Linked DNA regions of Caenorhabditis elegans. The protein of the gene in region 4 interacts with the protein of the main gene of each other region in a pairwise test. Each region holds a gene or a part of one and is shown on either strand. Other genes may lie near its edges. The genes, in order: hlh-4, ceh-10, pole-3 and nhr-170.

Region 1 (3,967 bases), on a different chromosome or scaffold from region 4:
TAGGATAACTGCCAGAAATGTTCATTTCCAGCAAATTACCAATTCCGGCAAAATGCCAAAGAACTGTGCCTTTTTCACATTTTTTCTCGTCTTTAAAAAGATTTTTTCATAGAATTTGATTATTTTTCTAAATAAATTTTCTAAATAAATCATAGGATGCGTACAATTTTCCGATTAAAATTAAAATTCTGAAATTTCCAAAAAAAATGAGCAAAACCACAATTTGCTGAAAACTTTCTGCAAGTGCCGTTCTTCCGGCAATTTGCTGATTTGCCGGAAAAAATCGTTTGCCGCTCCCCTTTATTGAGGTACAACTAACACCTTGTAGAAAACGTATTTCAAGAGTTTTTTGTCATAAATGAACTCGCCAAATGTCCGCTGCTTCATCTTTTGGCATGTTTGAGGTGGGTTGTTGAAAAGTATTCGGAAATGAAATTTTCGCTTTCGAAAAGTCCGGTTTCTGAGTAATATTCTTTGGAAAATAGCGAAAGTTTACGAGAAACCTGAATAGTCTGAACAGCCACTGCACATATAGAAATAAAATGTATTTATTCAAAAACATTGATAAGAGGGCATTGGTACAAGTTGATTATTAACAATCAAATGTGATTGTGGTGCAGTTGGTGCAGGTGGTGGTGGAGGTGCAGTTGATGGTTGATAGAAATATGTTGGATAATCAAGTAGACTCTTCATATAAGGGAATGTTGGTTGAGGTGAGAATACTGAAGGCATTTGCATTGGAACTGGTGGTGCTAATGACGATGCGAATGTTGATCTATAGTCGACTAGAGAATGATCTGGAGCACACGTCGCAGCTATTGGAGCTGGGAGATACGTTTCGTGGCGTGGAAGAACTGGTGCAAGGGGACGGATTGGTTGAGATATGACTGTGTCTGGTTTTGAGATTTTATGGACAGCTCGAACGGGAGTTGGAACAATTGGGCCAAGAGTTGCAGAAATAACAGACTGAGGAACTGCTTCTGAACTTTGAATTAATTTAAGAAGTGTGTCAATGTAAGTGATTGCTGCATTCAGTATACGAAGTTTGCTGACACGTTTTGTGAATTGACGGAGGCTTGGAAGATGTTGTTTCAGAACAAGAAATGCCTGAAATAAGAAGTATTTGAATGAACGGACTTTTGGATATATTTTTGTACGATTTAGAATTTTAAACTATTTGAATACTATTTGTTTCAAGGGTCTCTATAATCTATTACAGAAAATCACGGCTGACGTATGTAGATAATTTGACATTTGTCAAATAGGATTATTGAAAGTATGTAAAATTCTCAAAAAAAGAGAGATCCTTCGATTTTTGAAACATCTTAACAGCCAAGATCAGTTTTTTTTTTAAAATAATCGATAATCGATAATTTGAAATAATAAATCCTCACTTACAACACCTTTGAAATGGCAATCTACAAAAAAGCTTCTTACTTTTTTTGGAAGCACATCTTGCCATTTGATGTACAAGAAACAGAGAAGTGCGGCACATTTTTTCGAAACATTTACAAAATTCCCCTTTTTCATCGTTGTGCCAAAGTTTTTTGTTGTAAATTTATATCGGCATATAAAGAGATGTTTTCACTCTCTAAAGATGCATTTATTTTCAATTGAGATGCTCAAAAAATTTCTCAAAATCTTCCTCAAAGTCTCAATTTGCCAAATGAATGTACCAGAAAGTATAAATATTTCTCGACATTCCTATATACATTCACAAAAAACTTGGGCACAACAATGAGAAAATGGGATTTTGTAAATATGCCAAAAAACTTTGCTGCTCACATCACTGATCAGAAAACTACTGTAATTTCTTCATAACTCAAAAAAAGGATCAAACCTGATTAACAGTGTGTACACGTGTCCGTTCCCTTGCATTTCTCTTGGCAACAACCATCGGCATTCCTTTGGATTTTCAGGAATTTTGAGTCTGAAACTTTCAGGTTACAAGATATAAAATCATCTGAAATTTCTGTATTCTCACCTGACGTTAGTGGGAGATCAGATAACAAATGCAAAGCAGAAAGAAATCAGTGGGTAGTCAGTCATACAAGACGGGCGGCTCCTTTTCTCGCCGTCACTTTTCCACCTGTTCTGTTGTCGACGTTAATTGAATTTTGGATGAGGTGACTACATCCCGAGAGGATTACGGTAATTATTGGTTTACGTAAGCGTTTATTATTATTTTAGGAATTATCAAGGATAAAGTAGTATTGAAAAAACAATAATTAATACTGTAAGGTTAAACTGAATTTAAAAATGAGAAAAAAGTGAGATATGAGTTAGGAAAATGAAAGGAAATGAGCAAAAGTAGGTGTGATAAATTCAATGAAAAGAAACCCGTGAAACTAGAAAATAAGGCAGAACATTTGGTACTTAACAGGGAAACTGGGAGTTTGAGAATACTTTTTTCATGATATTTAGAAGATAAGTGTGAATAGGAAAGTTACAGTAATCAAGGATACTGTAGTTCCAACCGCTGCATTTTCATTTTCTTTTTTCACCATCATCCATCCTTCTGTACCTTCTTCCATACCGTATTCATCGGCTTCTGAAAAAAATAAAATAATTTTAAACTTGATAAATTTTCAACTTCCTAGTACGATATAAGGTTCCCTCATGGCGGATATTTTAATGTAATTGTCAAAACATGATTTTAATTTTTTTTGATTATATTAATTTAAAATTTTTAAATTTAAACTCCCAAAAAATGGTGGAAACTTAGTTTTACCAGCAATCTTTTTTTTCTACAATTATAAATATTTTTATTATTTTTATTTGCACAGTGTACGGCTTAAGCCTGCATCAATTCACGAAAATTTGTTTAAAAAGTAACTTTTCCCAATGTACCAAAAAATAATCAGTTTTAAAAATGGGAACAAATTGCCAAAACTCAAAAAAAAATATTTCTGGAAATTTTGAAATTATTTTAATTTTAAAAAATTAACAAACCTTCTGTTTTCTTGGTTCCTTCATTTTCTGCCGTCCAACTATCTTCGTCTGTTTTTTTGGAAGTTTCATCCCAATACTCGTCTTCCTCGCTTAAAAAAAATTCAATTAGAAATCAAACGTTTTTTTTTGAGATGATTTTTCAGAAATATTATTTCTGGAACTGTTAAAGTTTCCTAATGGGTTAAGAAATCAATTTTAACATTAAAATTGCACACGAAAAACTTTTTTCCTCATCACATTTTACTTATTCTTAATGAATTGATAACTATGAAATTTACAAAACACGGTACTGGGAGCATTTTAATTCACATTTTAGCCAACAGCTAAAATGTAAATTTCAAATAAAATTTTATAAATTATCCCACCCATTTTTGGTGTGCCCTGATAATGGGTGTACAAAATTCCTAACATCTGTATTTTTTTCAGGCGTCGGATTAAAATCAGGGTGCTTCATAGCATGTTTCACATAGCAACTTTTGAATATGTATTATAATTATAGTTGATATCTAGAACTAGATTTAGAAAAAACTTACATTGGATGTTCTTTTACAGTTTCATCGACTGCTTTATTGAAGACATGTTTAATCGAATCAATAAGTTTTTCATCTTCTTTTCTAATTGGTTCTTTATCATCTTCCATTTCATCTTTTTCCATAATCATATCACTTCCATCATCTCCATCTACTCCTTTACTCTCTTCTACCATAGGCTTCATAAGTTTTGTAGTTTTTGTAGTTGTGATTGTAACATCTTCAGTATTATCTGTCTCATACCCTTCATCATATTCATCTTCTTTTTCAGCAACTTGTGGATATTCTTCATCTCCACCTTCATATTCAAATTGTTCATTCATTGATTGTGTCCTTTTATCATTTAATTCCTTTTCTACTTCTTTTTCTGTTTCTTGTCTCCGTCTCTCTTCATCTCTTACTCTTGCTTCATCGGTTTCTCGTTGTGCAGCCAATCGGCGGCTTTCTTCCTGCAAAGGGATTCAGAATTAAAATAATACGGTACT
Region 2 (4,522 bases), on a different chromosome or scaffold from region 4:
TTTTTCACATTTTACGGAATTTTTTTTGTAAGATTAACCTCATAAATGCTCATTTCGCTGATCAAATCAAAAAGTGCCAACGCAGAAAAGAATCGAATATGAATTTGAAGCAATTTGTCATTTCTTCGTCCTTGAAGTTGATCCAAAATAAATTTTTCACTGACTCCAACCAACTTTGCGATTCGTTTATGATCTGATGGAAGTTTCGAGAAAATTGAGAAAAGGTGATGCCAATCACATTCCTGCCAAACACTTACGTTGATTGGGGTTACCTGAATTTAAAGATTAATTTAATTATAAAAATATCAGAAAACGTTAATATATACATGCCAAAAATGTTGTTTTTTTCTTATAGAATTTGTAATATGTACGGTGATGTTTTCAGAAATTTTTTTTTTGAATTTCTAAAATTTTTTAATTTGAAAAAGTTTTAATAGTAATTTTTGAAAGTAGTTTTTGAAAATCTGCAAATTTGAATTTTTGAAGAGTTAAAAAAAATTTTCAATATAACAGGTTCTAAATTTTTAAACTTTTTTAAAATGAAAATTGAATAAATTTTGAATATTTTTTGAATTATTTGGGCCCTCGAATTCTTGTAAAAATATACCAAATAGAGCATATGAAGCTCAGTATCCAGTGCAATTGCTCGACTCGCCGAATTCAAATCTTCAAAAATGGCAAGTGATGCTTCAGGTGGTAGAGATGAAGCAATTGCAGCTCTTCCGAGTTGTGTGGGACTTAATTGATCATCGTTTTCGTCTTGGGAGATGAAAGAATTCCGAAGAAGCATCTCGATGGCAATGTCAGAAAGTTGAAGGTTTTCAGAATTAAATAGGAGAAGCTTGCAGAGATCATGAATCTGAGATCTTGTTGTCGTGAGCCCAGTGCAGATTCCCTGAAATTTTTAAAATTTCTATAGAATCTCAAATTTTCTAGACTCTGTTTAAAAAAGGTCAAATACAATGTTTTAGCATTGTGTTTTTAATTGTTATATTTTAATTTTTAAATATTTCAAAAAAGGTGACAAATGGAATCTATGAAAACTGGGCAGCAACGAAATTTTAAAATTACAGTATTCTTTAAAGGCGCACGCCCTTTAGCAATTCACAAAAAAAGAGTGTCGAAACCTGTTACTGTATTTTTTGCGCAAAACTGCTAGATCTTGCGTATGTGTAAAATGAAAGAACGTATTTTTTCTGAAACTTCGAAAAATTTGGAAAAAAAATGATTTTTTTTACAGACTCATCCTTTTGAAAATAAATTTCATTTCGATTTTTTTTTGAGTTTCAGTTTCAGTTAATTTCTCTGAAATTTACCTCTAATATAAATCTGCTTAAATTAGTCCGTTCAGCATCTCGTTTCCTTGTTAGAACACCTTGATCAATCGGAGTCTCGATGATTTTCAGCACGGCATCTCGATCACATTTCTTGATGAGAAGATAGGTTTCACCTGGAAAAATGGATGGAAATTAGTAATTTCGTTCTGAAAACTTGTAGCAGTTAACTTTTCTGCTGATTTTGCTAATTTGATTTATAAATGGATGTTCTGATAAATTATTAAAAATTCTGGTATTTTCCTGCTCCTTTGAGCCGTGAATTTCTTCAAAAGCGGGTTTTTTCTTCAATCGAATGCTAAATAATTTCTCAAAACACTTCAAATACTCCTTCCTGTTCTTTTTCTCATAATTCTCAGCAATTAGTAACCAGAAGCTCCTCCTCCTTCGTGGTACGGTAGACGTCGATCTGCGAAACCAACCAAAAATGGGCGTGGTTTTCTCAGCGATTCGTCAGGAAATTGGATCATTTGCCTCCTCCCGTTTCTCTAGTGTGCTCTCGACTACTGCACACCGGCCAATTCATTTTTATATCAGCCTCCTCCTTCTCGTCTTCTCATTCCAATTTTCCACTTTGGGTAATCTTCTTCAATTTTTCCAGATAAGCAGCCACTTTTCTCTTGTGATGGCGGTGGACGAAATGCAGCTCGCTGCATCAATGCAAATGAGCAATCAAATGAGCAATTCACAACGAATGAGCTTCGCAATTCATGAGATTCTAGGCATTCAGGTAATATCATTCGTATTCCGAAGTGCACAAATCAGTAATTTTTAGGGAAATGCATATCTATCTCACGGATATTGTCCTCAGGGAACATTTCTCTCAAATCAACCCAATTTCATGGACATTGGATCCTGTGGAGTATCAGGGTTCGACAGACAGCTGTGTGGTACTGACTCTATTGGAAATGGTAGGATATTCATAGTTCATAGATTCAAACGAATTTTCAATTTTCAGCACCTGCTCCACTGATGTATCGAATGCCAATCTCAACATCAGAGGTTATAACTTCGGAGCCCCAGACTCATGTCAGCTCATCAAGCATCTTATCATCAGCAACTACATCAAATTCTTCTGGTGGTGGAAGCAGTGGTGGTGGTGGAAAGGCAAGCAAGAGAAAGAAGAGAAGACATCGCACAATTTTCACTCAATACCAGATCGACGAACTCGAGAAGGCTTTTCAAGATTCTCATTACCCAGACATCTATGCCAGAGAAGTCCTAGCTGGAAAGACAGAATTGCAAGAAGATCGGATTCAGGTCAGTTGATTTTTCATTGTAGCCCCTTACCAATTACGAAAACGGAGCCCCTTTTATCGGTCGGCATCCATCTTTTTATTGGTGCTAATTTCCTCCATTTTGCTCTTCTTGACTCTCGGAAAGTTAGAGGACATGCTCCCCCACAAGAATAGGGGCAGCAATGTGTCAATTGAATTTCTTGAATTTCCTTCAAGACAAGTCAAGACACGGCCAATTGGCTGATAGTATTGAGTGAAACCCAAAATTCTAAAGGGTTCTCACGCTTCTTCGCTTCTATTGGCTTACTGAAACCTGAGACCTAATTATCTATTAGATGACAAATTGTGTAAAAGCTTTATCAAATTGTTCAATCAAGTATATTTTTCAGGTATGGTTCCAAAACCGTCGTGCAAAATGGCGAAAAACCGAGAAAACCTGGGGAAAAAGTACCATAATGGCAGAATATGGGCTATATGGAGCAATGGTACGGCATTCTCTTCCACTTCCGGAAACAATTACAAAGTCAGCTGAGGCGGCGGATCCACAACAAAGTGCTGCTCCGTGGTTGTTAGGTATGTGAAGATGTGACTTTGCATGTGATAGTTGCGTTAATCAGCTTGTTTATGAGGAAGAGGGGAGAATGAGTCAGAAAAAGAGTTTAATTTTGTGATAAACAAATGAAATTAGAAAAGATCATGAAATTGGACTTTTGGTAGAACAAAATTAGTCTATCTAAAACTTTCAACTGGGATAATTCCGGATAACAACCGGGAACAAACAAAAAATGGTATTAAGATGTTTTAATTATAAATTACAAACCAAACTTCAGGGTAGCTTGAAACTTTTAGAAAATGAATTGTTATTTTTGTGTTCTTAGTAAAACTTGAAAAAAAAACGTGCAAAACTCCTAACAAAAACTAAATTTTTTGAAGGTGCACCATGATAGGTATTAAAATTGGAGAAATTACGACAGTGACACCACAATATTGCACCACTAATTACCCTGAACCACCTGCTCTGACCCATTTCATTCCCATATGATACATTGTTTTCAGGAATGCACAAGAAAAGTATGGAAGCTGCGGCTCACTTGGAGAGTGTTGAAAAATGTGATATGTCGGATAGTGATGATGATGACCGTCCGGTAACTCCTCCAGTGCAACGTCAAGTGAAAAACGAGTACAAACCACGAATAATTGAGCATGTTCAACAACAAGCTCCCCAACATCAGTCATCATTGAATTTCGATACTTCACTTGTTGTCAGTTCCTCACTTTCACAATTACATTTTCAGGATTCTCAAATGATTCCGAACAATAATGCTTCATTGAAGCTTTATCATGATTACAATAATCCCATGTAACTCTATTTTTCCGTGAATTTCAATGTCAATAACTATTACCTAAATAATAAATTAATCTGCTAATAACAACAATAATAATGAGCGGTCAGGAAACAACCACTTCTTTCTTTTTTCTTTTTAATCGCCGTTTGTCAAGTACTTATTTGAAGATTTTGCGGGAAAAGAAGACGTACCTCGTGTAGCATGTCCTGTTCTTCCCGCTCTTCCCACCATCTGACGGTAATTTAGAGAAGTGAGAGCCGATGGGCCACGTGGCTGAGCCTTGATGAGTACTCGTTCCGCAGGGAGATTTACGCCTGGAATTCTATTTTTTTATTTGGAAAAGAAGGTTTTAAACTTTTGAAAATGTAAAGTTTGAAAAATTATAATAGTTTTAATCTTAATATATCGACGAATTTGAACCTTTTATCTTATTTCATCAATAAGAAAAAAGAAAACAAAAATTTAATATTCTTCAGCTAAAAAGGGCCAAAATTGTATGCTATTATTCGAAAAATCGACATTTTGGAATCTCGAAAAAAAAACCGAAAAATTTTCGCTTTTCGATTTAAAAAAAAGGGAAGAGCGGGATTAGCAAACAACTGGA
Region 3 (2,881 bases), on a different chromosome or scaffold from region 4:
CCTCGCAGTTTCTTCCAACGCCCTTCACTTTTTCTTTTTTTTCTCCTTCTTCTCGCTCCCACCAACACCCCAAAACATTTTGAAATACGCGGGCACGCGCCTGTTTGCATTTGAGTGCGCGCGCATTGCCCCGACGACAGCCGAGTCGCACACTCCAACACAGCCGGGTCGCGTGCGACGCGGCTGTGCAGCGTGCGACGCGCCCCGCCTATCTCGCTCTCGGCTTCGCTCAGCCATCTTCTCTTTCGTCTCCCAATGCCACCCATTCCTCCACTCTTTGAAACTGTTATCTTTTGGCTCACTTCATTCTCCTCCACTTTCGATATCTTTTCTCTGTTGTCTTACGAATGCTGCTGCTGATAAATGCGTACAATCTGATGTGTACTCTTATCGAAAAAGTAGCCTGTTTGTTGACATGAAATATCTTTTGAAAAAAGTTCCCGATGACACATAACTGGGGAACTCTTCTTCTTTCATCTATTTCATTATTTCTAAACTGTTCAGATTTAAACAATTCACGTCAAAAGTTTTTCATGTTGCGGGCGCAAATACTCTGTACTCAAGTGCCTCCGAGCTTTGCAAATTATATTTTTAATACTCTGAAGAGCCTTATTCGTACTAACATACTCCTGTTTCGTGTCATAAATTGGGTCGCTCAAATAATTACCTTGCCGTTCTTCCATTATCCTTATCTATCTCTTTGACCTCCGCATTCCGCATTCACAACCGTTATTATAACTACTACCGAGTACCCGGTGTTCAATTAATTTAATTTTGTATTTTTTGCAGCCAAATCCGTTCAAAATGGTTGACCGCAAGGCTGTGATCAAGAATGCCGACATGTCCGATGACATGCAACAGGACGCCATCGACTGCGCCACCCAGGCCCTCGAGAAGTGAGTTATGAGCTTTCTCATTGCATTTTAAACGCTTGAATAATTCGATTGCCATGAACAACACTTGGTCGCTTAGTAGAGAAAAAGTGTAAAGAAATGTCGTTTAGCTGTTTGGAACGGCTCATCGGTCCCTTGATTTAAACTAAAGTGGACGGCAGCCCGAGTCTAGGGGAGGGGGCGAGCAGGAGCGACCAGCTGATCGAACAAATCTGATCCTTGTGCAAGAAAAAAGCGAAGCGATGAAAGTCTAAAAAATAAAATCAAAACATTTTTTTTTCAGATACAACATCGAGAAGGATATTGCCGCTTACATCAAGAAGGAGTTCGACAAGAAATACAACCCAACCTGGCATTGCATCGTCGGAAGAAACTTTGGAAGCTACGTGACCCACGAGACTAAGCACTTTATCTACTTCTACCTTGGACAGGTCGCCATCCTGCTATTCAAGTCTGGATAAATCCCATCCTGTTCTTAAAAAACATTCAATGATCTTTAAATTGTGACCTGATCCTACGTGTACCTTAGGTGGCGTAGGATCTTCAGTGTGCACTCTTGTTAAATCTTCCTTTTCCTCCCAAAAAACATTTTCCTTCGTCGCATTCTATTTATTTAGCTCAAACTGTTCATTTTCTTTGAATCTTCCTCCATCACCCATAAATCTTCTTACGTTGTCCGTTTTTGAGAGAAAAGAGAACTCATAATATTTTTGTTCTCGAAAAGTGCTCGCACTAAAAGTAAAAATAAAAGGATAGCTTTAAATCCCTTAATTATCTGTGCTTCATTTTTATACTCGAAACTGAACAAGGCAATAATTTAAGATAGAAATGTCATCAAACGATGTGGATCAAAACGATGATCGAATTGCTCAAATGATGATGCCAGCAGCAATTGTGACTCGGCTCATGAAAGAAGACAATATTTCTGCATCAAAAGATGCTCGAGACGTCATCGCTCGTGCTGCAGCAGTGTTTCTCATAAACTTGTCCGACGTTTCGGCTCAATCTGCTCGCGATCAGAAGCACAAGACGATCTCAGGAGATGATGTTGTCAAAGGACTCCGAGAGCTTGAGAATACTTCTATTCACAATCATGTAATTATGGGTTTCGAAAGAGTTAAGAAATTAAAATTTCCAGTGCAAGTCCGCCAACGATAAATGGAAAGTTATTAGTCAGCAGAAGGCTCTCGCTCGTAAAAATCCAGTTGAATCCAGCTCTGTCAATGCTGAAATGGATGACGACATTATTGACGATACTCCTGTCGATGGTTAGTTCTATTCTTTAAATCTGAAGTTTATCTGAATAATTTATAATATTGCAGATTCATTGATGAACTGATCACTCATAACCAACTCATTCCTGCTCAAAACGATCCTTCCTGTAAAATCTCATTCCGATTCTCAACGCGTGTCCCACTTTTGTCTCTAACATTTCACTTTGATAAACAATTTTGGCCAATAGTTTATTGAATGTACAAAACCCCGAAAAAAAATTAAAGCGATCTGAATGCCCCCGAAAAAGTGCCCATAAATAAGTGAATCGGCATGATCAATAAAATAGCGAAAAATGAGAATTGAATAATTGCACGAAGTTTGGCGAATCCATTGTCTGGAACTCGAAAGTCTGCACCAGAGGTAGCTGATCTCTTCCACATCACTTCCCAAGAATCGAATTTTTGCTCCTGTGTATTCTTCTTGAGCCGTATCAATTCATTGCAATTATTTGGGAATCCACGAGAAAGTTCAATAATTTGACGACTCAACTGCTCAGAATCATCGAAAAGATATCCATTAGTTTTCTCCTCAACGAGCTCATCAATACATTTGAATTTTAGAGCCAATGCTGGAACTTTAGCTCCAAACATATCAACAACTTTCATCGGAAGATCCAATCCAGACGTGCTTGTGTGCAAAGAGATTCCTAAGTCAGCAGAGGCTAGAATCTTTGGATAATCTTCTGCTTCCAACCATGGAGTCAATACATCGAC
Region 4 (7,138 bases):
AAAATAGATGTGTACATAACATTTCCCAAAATGCGACGCCCATGTTAGCTATATTCTAAAAACGTAACAATCAGGCCTAGAATTGGCCTGAAAACGGCCTATTTTGGACTGAAAAGTGAATTTTCGGAAGATTAGCATAAAAAATAGAAAGGTGCATAGCACTCCTCAAAATTTTAAACATATATTGGCTATTTTCAGGAAAAGTGAATATCAGGCCTAGAATTGGCCTGACAACGGCCCATTTCGGACTGAAAAGTGGATTTTTCGAAGATCAGCATAAAAATAGAAATGTGCATAGCACTCCTCAAAATTTTAAACCTATACTGGGTATTTTCAAGAAGTTTGACAATCAGGCCTAAACTTGGCCTGAAAACGGCCCAGTTTGGCTTAAACACTAAAATTTTCAGATCATAGTCAATATGGGTGTCAAAATTTTGGAAATTTCACGCCAAATTTGAATTTTTTAGTTTCAAGTCCACTTATGTGTGTTACAAAATTCTAAAATAACTTCACAATTTCACACAAAATATCAAACGATTTATTTTCGTTATTTTTCCACTCAAACCCTGAAAAATTCGGGCTCAGTGAACACAATATTAAACATATCAAACAACATTGCTATATCCATAGTATTTTCTCGTTTCAACTGAATACTCAGCATTTCATTGACAATTTGCATCATTTTCGTAAGCCTTGACGCATAGTTTTTCGGATTTTCCTCTTTTCTAGCAGCTTCTTCATAGTAACTATGCAAATTATTGGAAATTTCCTCTAAAAATCGTTCTCCAGCCGCTTGGGTTTGTCCTTGAAGCCGTCTTCCTGCATAATTCCAGACGATTTGACATAAAATATAGGTGACTTCAGTTTCAGAGAGATTAAGTTCCAGGTATGGCTTCACGATTATGTCAAAATATCTGATCATTTTTCCACCGAATACACTGAAAAAATTGAATTTTTCAGTAAGAAATTTGGATTCTACGTAAAATTTGGAGCATTTTGACACCAATAATGGGTCTTTTGGGCTGAAAATAAAGCTGAAAACTAAAAATTTTGAAGAGTATGACAAAATTGGTGTTTTGCATATTTTTAGAGCATTTTAAGTGATTTCAAGGTAAAAATTCGAGATCTACACAAAATTTCCGAAATTTTGACACCCATATTGACTATATTCCGAAAAATCTGTTTTCAGGCCTGAAAGTAAAGCCTGAAACGTCAATTTTTTGGAACCTTTATATTACAATCTGCATTGCAATAAAATTTCCAAAATTTTGACTCTTAAATTGACTGAATTCTGAAAAATCACTTTTCAGGCTTAGATTTTGACTTAAAACGGACTATTTTGGCCTGAAAACTCATTTTTTTGGAAACTTAATATTACAGTCAACTATTTTTTAAAAAATGCCAAAAATTTGGCACCCATGTTGACTATATTCTGAAAAATCAGTTTTCAAGCCTGAAAGTGACCCAAAGTGGCCCAAAATGGCCTACTTTGGCTTAGAAAGACGATATTTGGAAAGCAGTAGATATACATGTCAAATTTTCATAATATCTCTTAATTTACATCAATTTTGGCTTCCAGGCCTAAAATGGGCCTATTTCGGCCTGAAAACTAAAATTTTCAGAATATAGTCAATATGGGGGTCACAATTTTGCGAATTTTATGTAGATTTCAAATTTTTAACTTCAAAGTCCGGAAACTCACTTGTTAAACCGCTCAAAGCCGTGATCCGACACGTTTGAATAATCGATATGATAATTGCCAAATCTCGCGGCAAATTGGTGATTGTGAACGTGAATCTGAGAAATTTTTAATATTTTCAGACTATTTCAGGCCGTTTCAGTTACTTTTTCGTCATAGCATTTTTGACCGAACATTTGAGCAGACATTGTGTACCTCTCGAATCTCCGCCACACCGCCCACACTATTTTGAAAATTGCGATCTGGAAATTGAGAGACTTTTTTTAAGGCTAAGCTTAAATCTAAGCCCAAGCCTAAGCCTAAGCCTAAGCCTAATCAACACTACCTTTTCATGAAAAAAAAAATTTTCAGAATTTTTTTTTTAAATTTTCAGACAAACTACCAAAAAAAACTAGAAAAATGTTTTAAGCCTAAACCTAACCCCGAGTCTAGGCCTAAGCCTAAGCCTGAGTCTAGGCCTAAGCTTGAGTCTAGGCCTAGGCCTAAGCCTAATTCGAAAAAAACCTTCTCATGACTCGGTAGCCTCCGAAATTCGTCCGAATGCATAAGCCACGTGGCAGTATCCCGCATCTGTACCTCCCACCACTGGAACATTTTGTAAAATTTTACGTGCTCAAAAAATTCCGGGCTCCAGGACTGTTTCTCACGGATTTTGTGCAATGAGTGGGACATCCGCTGAAGGGGGTTCAGATGAGCAATAAGGTCTTCGTCGGGAAAATAGTGCTGCAAAAAAAAATTGAAATTCGCTGAAAAATGTAAAGATTGAGAATTTCCGAAGTCTAAACCAAAAAAATTGAATTCTTTGTGAAAATTGCAAAATTTTGACACCCATATTGAGTATATTTCTAAAACTTCAGTTTTCGGGCCGTTCTGGGCCTCATTTCAGGCTTGATCTCCGAATTTTCAAAATTTAACACACAAAAAATGCATTTTGTGAATTTTGTACAAAAGTGACATACAAATCGGTTGTTTTTAACAGTTTGTGCTTTCAGGCCGTTTTGGGCCGGCTTTTCGGACCAAAATAAGCCGTTTCAGGCCGAAATCTGCCCTGGAAACAATTTTTTTAACAATTTAGCAATATGGGTTTCGAAATAATTTAAAATAATTTAAAAATTTGTATTCTCCGCAAAATTTCCGAAATTTTGACCCCCATATTGACTATATTCCGGAAATTTATGTTTTCGGGCCGAAATAGGCCGATTTTAGGCCGAAATAAAATAGAGTCTACTCACAATTGCAAAATTTCATACAGTTCCTAAAATTTGGAAACTTAACACCGCCTAAATTTATGAGTTTTTTGAATTCGGGCCGTTTCAGGCCGAAATAGGCCGAATTTAGGCTTATACTGAAAATAATAGTAATTTTCGAAAAATAATACTATAAATTTCGGATTGTTCACAATTTCTAAAATTTTAAAACCCATTTTGAGTATATTTCTAAAACTTCAGTTTTCGGGCCGTTCTGGGCCTCATTTCAGGCTTGATCTCCGAATTTTCAAAATTTAACACACAAAAAATGCATTTTGTGAATTTTGTACAAAAGTGACATACAAATCGGTTGTTTTTAACAGTTTGTGCTTTCAGGCCGTTTTGGGCCGGCTTTTCGGACCAAAATAAGCCGTTTCAGGCCGAAATCTGCCCTGGAAACAATTTTTTTAACAATTTAGCAATATGGGTTTCGAAATAATTTAAAATAATTTAAAAATTTGTATTCTCCGCAAAATTTCCGAAATTTTGACCCCCATATTGACTATATTCCGGAAATTTATGTTTTCGGGCCGAAATAGGCCGATTTTAGGCCGAAATAAAATAGAGTCTACTCACAATTGCAAAATTTCATACAGTTCTTAAAATTTGGAAACTTAACACCGCCTAAATTTATGAGTTTTTTGAATTCGGGCCGTTTCAGGCCGAAATAGGCCGAATTTAGGCTTATACTGAAAATAATAGTAATTTTCGAAAAATAATACTATAAATTTCGGATTGTTCACAATTTCTAAAATTTTAAAACCCATTTTGAGTATATTTCTAAAACTTCAGTTTTCGGGCCGTTCTGGGCCTCATTTCAGGCTTGATCTCCGAATTTTCAAAATTTAACACACAAAAAATGCATTTTGTGAATTTTGTACAAAAGTGACATACAAATCGGTTGTTTTTAACAGTTTGTGCTTTCAGGCCGTTTTGGGCCGGCTTTTCGGACCAAAATAAGCCGTTTCAGGCCGAAATCTGTCCTGAAAACAATTTTTCAATTCAATTTAGCAATATGGGTTTCAAATTCAAAAATAAGTATTGATTAAATTTCACAAGATTATTTTTAAGCCAGTTTTAGACCGGAAAATTGACTTTTTCAGAATTTTTTCAAACTTTTTTGAAACAAATTTTTGAAAATTACCTACCGTCTCCAAAATTGCTCTACTTTCTTTAATAATTGCATTGACATCAATAAGCATTGCAGGTGCTTGAGTTTTCGGGTTAACTATGTAATATTCCACCCGATTCCGCACTTTGGCGACAATTTGCTGTGATGACGTCACTTCCATTGATGACGTGGATTGAGGGGATTGAGAACTGGTGTCTTCAGAATCGTCTTTGAAATCTGTGCGTACATCTGAAAAAAAAATTGAAAAACTGAAAAAAAAAAGTTTTAGCCCGAAATAGGCCGAAATAGGCCAAATTTTAGCCTAAAACAAAACATTGCAAACTTTAATAAGCAATCTCTTCTGAGAATTGAAATAAATCAAAGTTTTGACGCCAGTACTCGTTGTATAGTTTCTGAGTCGATTCGGGCCGAAATAAGCCGAGATAGGCCGAACTTAGATCAGTGTGAGACATGTTATGAGGTTTTTCTTTGAATGCAAAAATTTTTGTCGAGTTAAACCTTTACAACCTTATTTTTAGCTATAGTTTAAAAAATTGTGGTTGGGTTTTAAAATTTTAGAAATTGTGAACAATCCGAAATTTATAGTATTATTTTCAGTTTAAGCCTAAATTCGGCCTATTTCGGCCTGAAACGGCCCGAATTCAAAAAACTTATAAATTTAGGCGCTAAATTTTAGGAACTGTATGAAATTTTGCAATTGTGAGTAGACTCTATTTTATTTCGGCCTAAAATCGGCCAATTTCGGCCCGAAAACATAAATTTCCTGAATATAGTCAATATGGGGGTCAAAATTTCGGAAATTTTGCGGAGAATACAATTTTTTAAATTATTTTGCTTTCACAGTTTGCATTTTCAACGAAAATTTGAGAAAAAAAACCCTCACTTTCAGTAGTCATACCCAAGTCGATGCATTTTTTAAATCTGCAAAATTTGCACAGCTTCTCCTCGCCACCGGCTCCAATTTCACATTTTCCAGTTTTCTGGATACATTTGTATTTTCGGTTCAAAACTACGGTGCGCCTGGAAAAAAATTCTCCGGTACGATGCTCCGAAATTCCGCTAGAGCTTACCTGAAAAATGCAGCACACGCACGACAAGTTTCAAGCCCAAAATGCAGACCGTGACTGGTTTTTTGACAAATTTCACAGTTTACAGTGAAATATGTCATTTCTGACGAGGATGATGGAAATTCCATTCTGAAAATTTGAATTTTGGCGACAAAATATCGATTTTTGAGGAAAAAAAACTCAAAATTTCTCAATTTTTAATGTAAAAATCTATGGAAAATGTGAAAATCGTAATATATTTCATAGATGAAAAGTGAGAAATTTGATAAGAGGTGAAATAGAGACAGGGGAAAAGTAAATATTAGGGAAAAAAGCACGAGACGCAGAGTAGGAACATCAGCAGGTATTAGTCACCAGGAAACATGCATACATTATTGTCATAGGAAATATAATTTTTAGTTAAATAAACCAAAATTTTCTCGAAAAACCGGGTTCTAACACAGTTTTCAAGATTTGAAACCTAAAAAATCGAAATTCTCGCATAGAAAAACCCCCGACAGAGTACATAGGTTTTTCTATGCGAGAAAATCGAATTTTCAATTTTTAACTTATGAAAATCAAGCTGGAACATTGATTTTGGAGATTTTAGGGGGGCTTTTCTCAATTTTTGAGAATTTCAAAGCAAATCGACCAAACTAAGCTTGAATTGCATGTACACAGTTCTCTAAAGTTTAGATGTTTTGTTGAAACAACACAATTTCGGTATGATAATATTTATTCAATATTCAGAGCTTAGGCTGTTCACCATGGAATGTTTGGAACATAACGACATACTCCCAAGTAGCATCTGTGAAAAGTTCTGCACGGTGGGTCACACCATCTGCGAGTACGATTGCGGGCTACGCCGAATCCCTGGACTTCGTCTTGACAAAGAACTCCGAATGGGAAGAGAACAGCGATCTGAAATTTCAAAGCTTAATTTTTGACATTCCTAGAAGTTTTTGTATATTCTTAAACTGAAAAATTCGATTTTATCCGTCTAAATATGATTGAAAACACTTGAAAAAAATTTTTTGCCACAGCGGGGACTCGAACCCCGGTCTTGTGATTGTCAGTCGCCGAAAATCACACTGAGCCATTTGGACAAAATTTTCAAAAATTTGCGGGAAATATGTAAATGTGAGTGTAACACTAATTTTGATTCTAATTTGAAAATTTCAAATTTGAAAATTTTTTGTTGAGTAAGTAAATTTTTGGTATTTTCCAGATGTTTTTTCTCTGAAACCTCAAAATTTGAAGTTTATACTTTTCAAACATCCTGAAAACATAATAACAAAAAATTTTACCAAAGCGGGGACCCGAACCCCGGTCTTGTGATTGGTAGTCAGCAAAAATCCCACTGAGCCATTCTGGCATAAATTTTAAAATTTCAAGATATTGTCCGATTTTTTTTAAAATTTAGACTAATTCAAAAGTAATTTAGTTTTCAACTCTAGAAACACTTACCAAAACGAGAATTTTCATATTTTCGAGCGCCACACTAAAATATGAGGTTCTTAATGTTTTCCTGCTAGTTTTTATAGATTTTAATCGTATTCTCAAGGAATTTCCATTATTTCGGTGTTTGATTCGAGGCCGATGGGAATTTCAAAGAAAAATTTACATTTCTCAGTGGGCGTTTGGGAAAGTGACTCACAAATGGTTTTGATTTTTTGAACTGGCAATTGATTTTTTCGAAGTTTTCCAAGAAGATGATGCAAAAAAAACTTTAAAGTTCAGATTCAGACGCATCAAAAATACCCAAAATCCGTTCAAGCAACACTAGAAAAAAATATCGACCAGCGTGCGGACTCGAACCCCGGTCTCGTGATTGGAAGTTGGCGAAAATCCCACTGCGCCAGCCGGACAAAATTTTCAAAAATGTGCGAATTTAAAAGGGTTTCAACTCAGCTTTCAAGTTTTAAGACCCAAAAAATCGAAAATCTCGCCTATAAAAACCTAAATACCCCCAACGGGGACCCGAACCTGCGCAGTCGGGAAGAGGCTTGACTAT

Evidence for each region.
Region 1: the proteins of nhr-170 (region 4) and hlh-4 interact in a two-hybrid assay, tested with the Caenorhabditis elegans proteins (one large-scale study listed by BioGRID).
Region 2: the proteins of nhr-170 (region 4) and ceh-10 interact in a two-hybrid assay, tested with the Caenorhabditis elegans proteins (one large-scale study listed by BioGRID).
Region 3: the proteins of nhr-170 (region 4) and pole-3 interact in a two-hybrid assay, tested with the Caenorhabditis elegans proteins (one large-scale study listed by BioGRID).

Annotation. Positions count from the first base shown.
Region 1 is NC_003281.10:9,736,937-9,740,903, forward strand, and holds hlh-4 (Helix-loop-helix protein 4), read right to left. Parts: upstream 2,119-3,967; 5' UTR 1,985-2,118; intron 1,931-1,984; 5' UTR 1,904-1,930; coding exon 1,841-1,903; intron 1,743-1,840; exon of another isoform or gene 1,593-1,742; intron 1,511-1,592; exon of another isoform or gene 1,361-1,510; intron 1,108-1,360; coding exon 553-1,107; 3' UTR 541-552; downstream 1-540. Other genes in the region: T05G5.1 (Prothymosin alpha-like), read right to left, coding at 2,421-2,551, 2,953-3,041, 3,486-3,931. UniProt on the Caenorhabditis elegans protein: Acts as a transcriptional regulator. May mediate transcriptional activation by binding to the E-box motif 5'-CANNTG-3'.
Region 2 is NC_003281.10:5,797,114-5,801,635, forward strand, and holds ceh-10 (Homeobox protein ceh-10), read left to right. Parts: upstream 1-1,933; 5' UTR 1,934-1,959; coding exon 1,960-2,064; intron 2,065-2,109; coding exon 2,110-2,245; intron 2,246-2,292; coding exon 2,293-2,594; intron 2,595-2,961; coding exon 2,962-3,145; intron 3,146-3,628; coding exon 3,629-3,936; 3' UTR 3,937-4,002; downstream 4,003-4,522. Other genes in the region: polq-1 (DNA polymerase theta), read right to left, coding at 39-272, 608-895, 1,317-1,450, 4,110-4,232. UniProt on the Caenorhabditis elegans protein: Transcription factor. Binds to a sequence motif, 5'-TTATTGGCTTCGTTAA-3', which may be involved in AIY interneuron function, in the regulatory elements of target genes; binding is more efficient, in vitro, together with LIM/homeobox protein ttx-3.
Region 3 is NC_003281.10:6,461,688-6,464,568, reverse strand, and holds pole-3 (DNA polymerase epsilon subunit 3), read left to right. Parts: upstream 1-1,712; 5' UTR 1,713-1,721; coding exon 1,722-1,988; intron 1,989-2,031; coding exon 2,032-2,161; intron 2,162-2,215; coding exon 2,216-2,232; 3' UTR 2,233-2,353; downstream 2,354-2,881. Other genes in the region: dlc-1 (Dynein light chain 1, cytoplasmic), read left to right, coding at 805-896, 1,177-1,354; algn-1 (Chitobiosyldiphosphodolichol beta-mannosyltransferase), read right to left, coding at 2,387-2,881.
Region 4 is NC_003283.11:18,795,547-18,802,684, forward strand, and holds nhr-170 (Nuclear Hormone Receptor family), read right to left. Parts: upstream 5,281-7,138; 5' UTR 5,274-5,280; coding exon 5,149-5,273; intron 5,099-5,148; coding exon 4,962-5,098; intron 4,307-4,961; coding exon 4,095-4,306; intron 2,423-4,094; coding exon 2,204-2,422; intron 1,942-2,203; coding exon 1,846-1,941; intron 1,798-1,845; coding exon 1,703-1,797; intron 939-1,702; coding exon 560-938; 3' UTR 515-559; downstream 1-514. Other genes in the region: C54E10.11 (FIP (Fungus-Induced Protein) Related), read right to left, coding at 5,887-6,045, 6,592-6,609.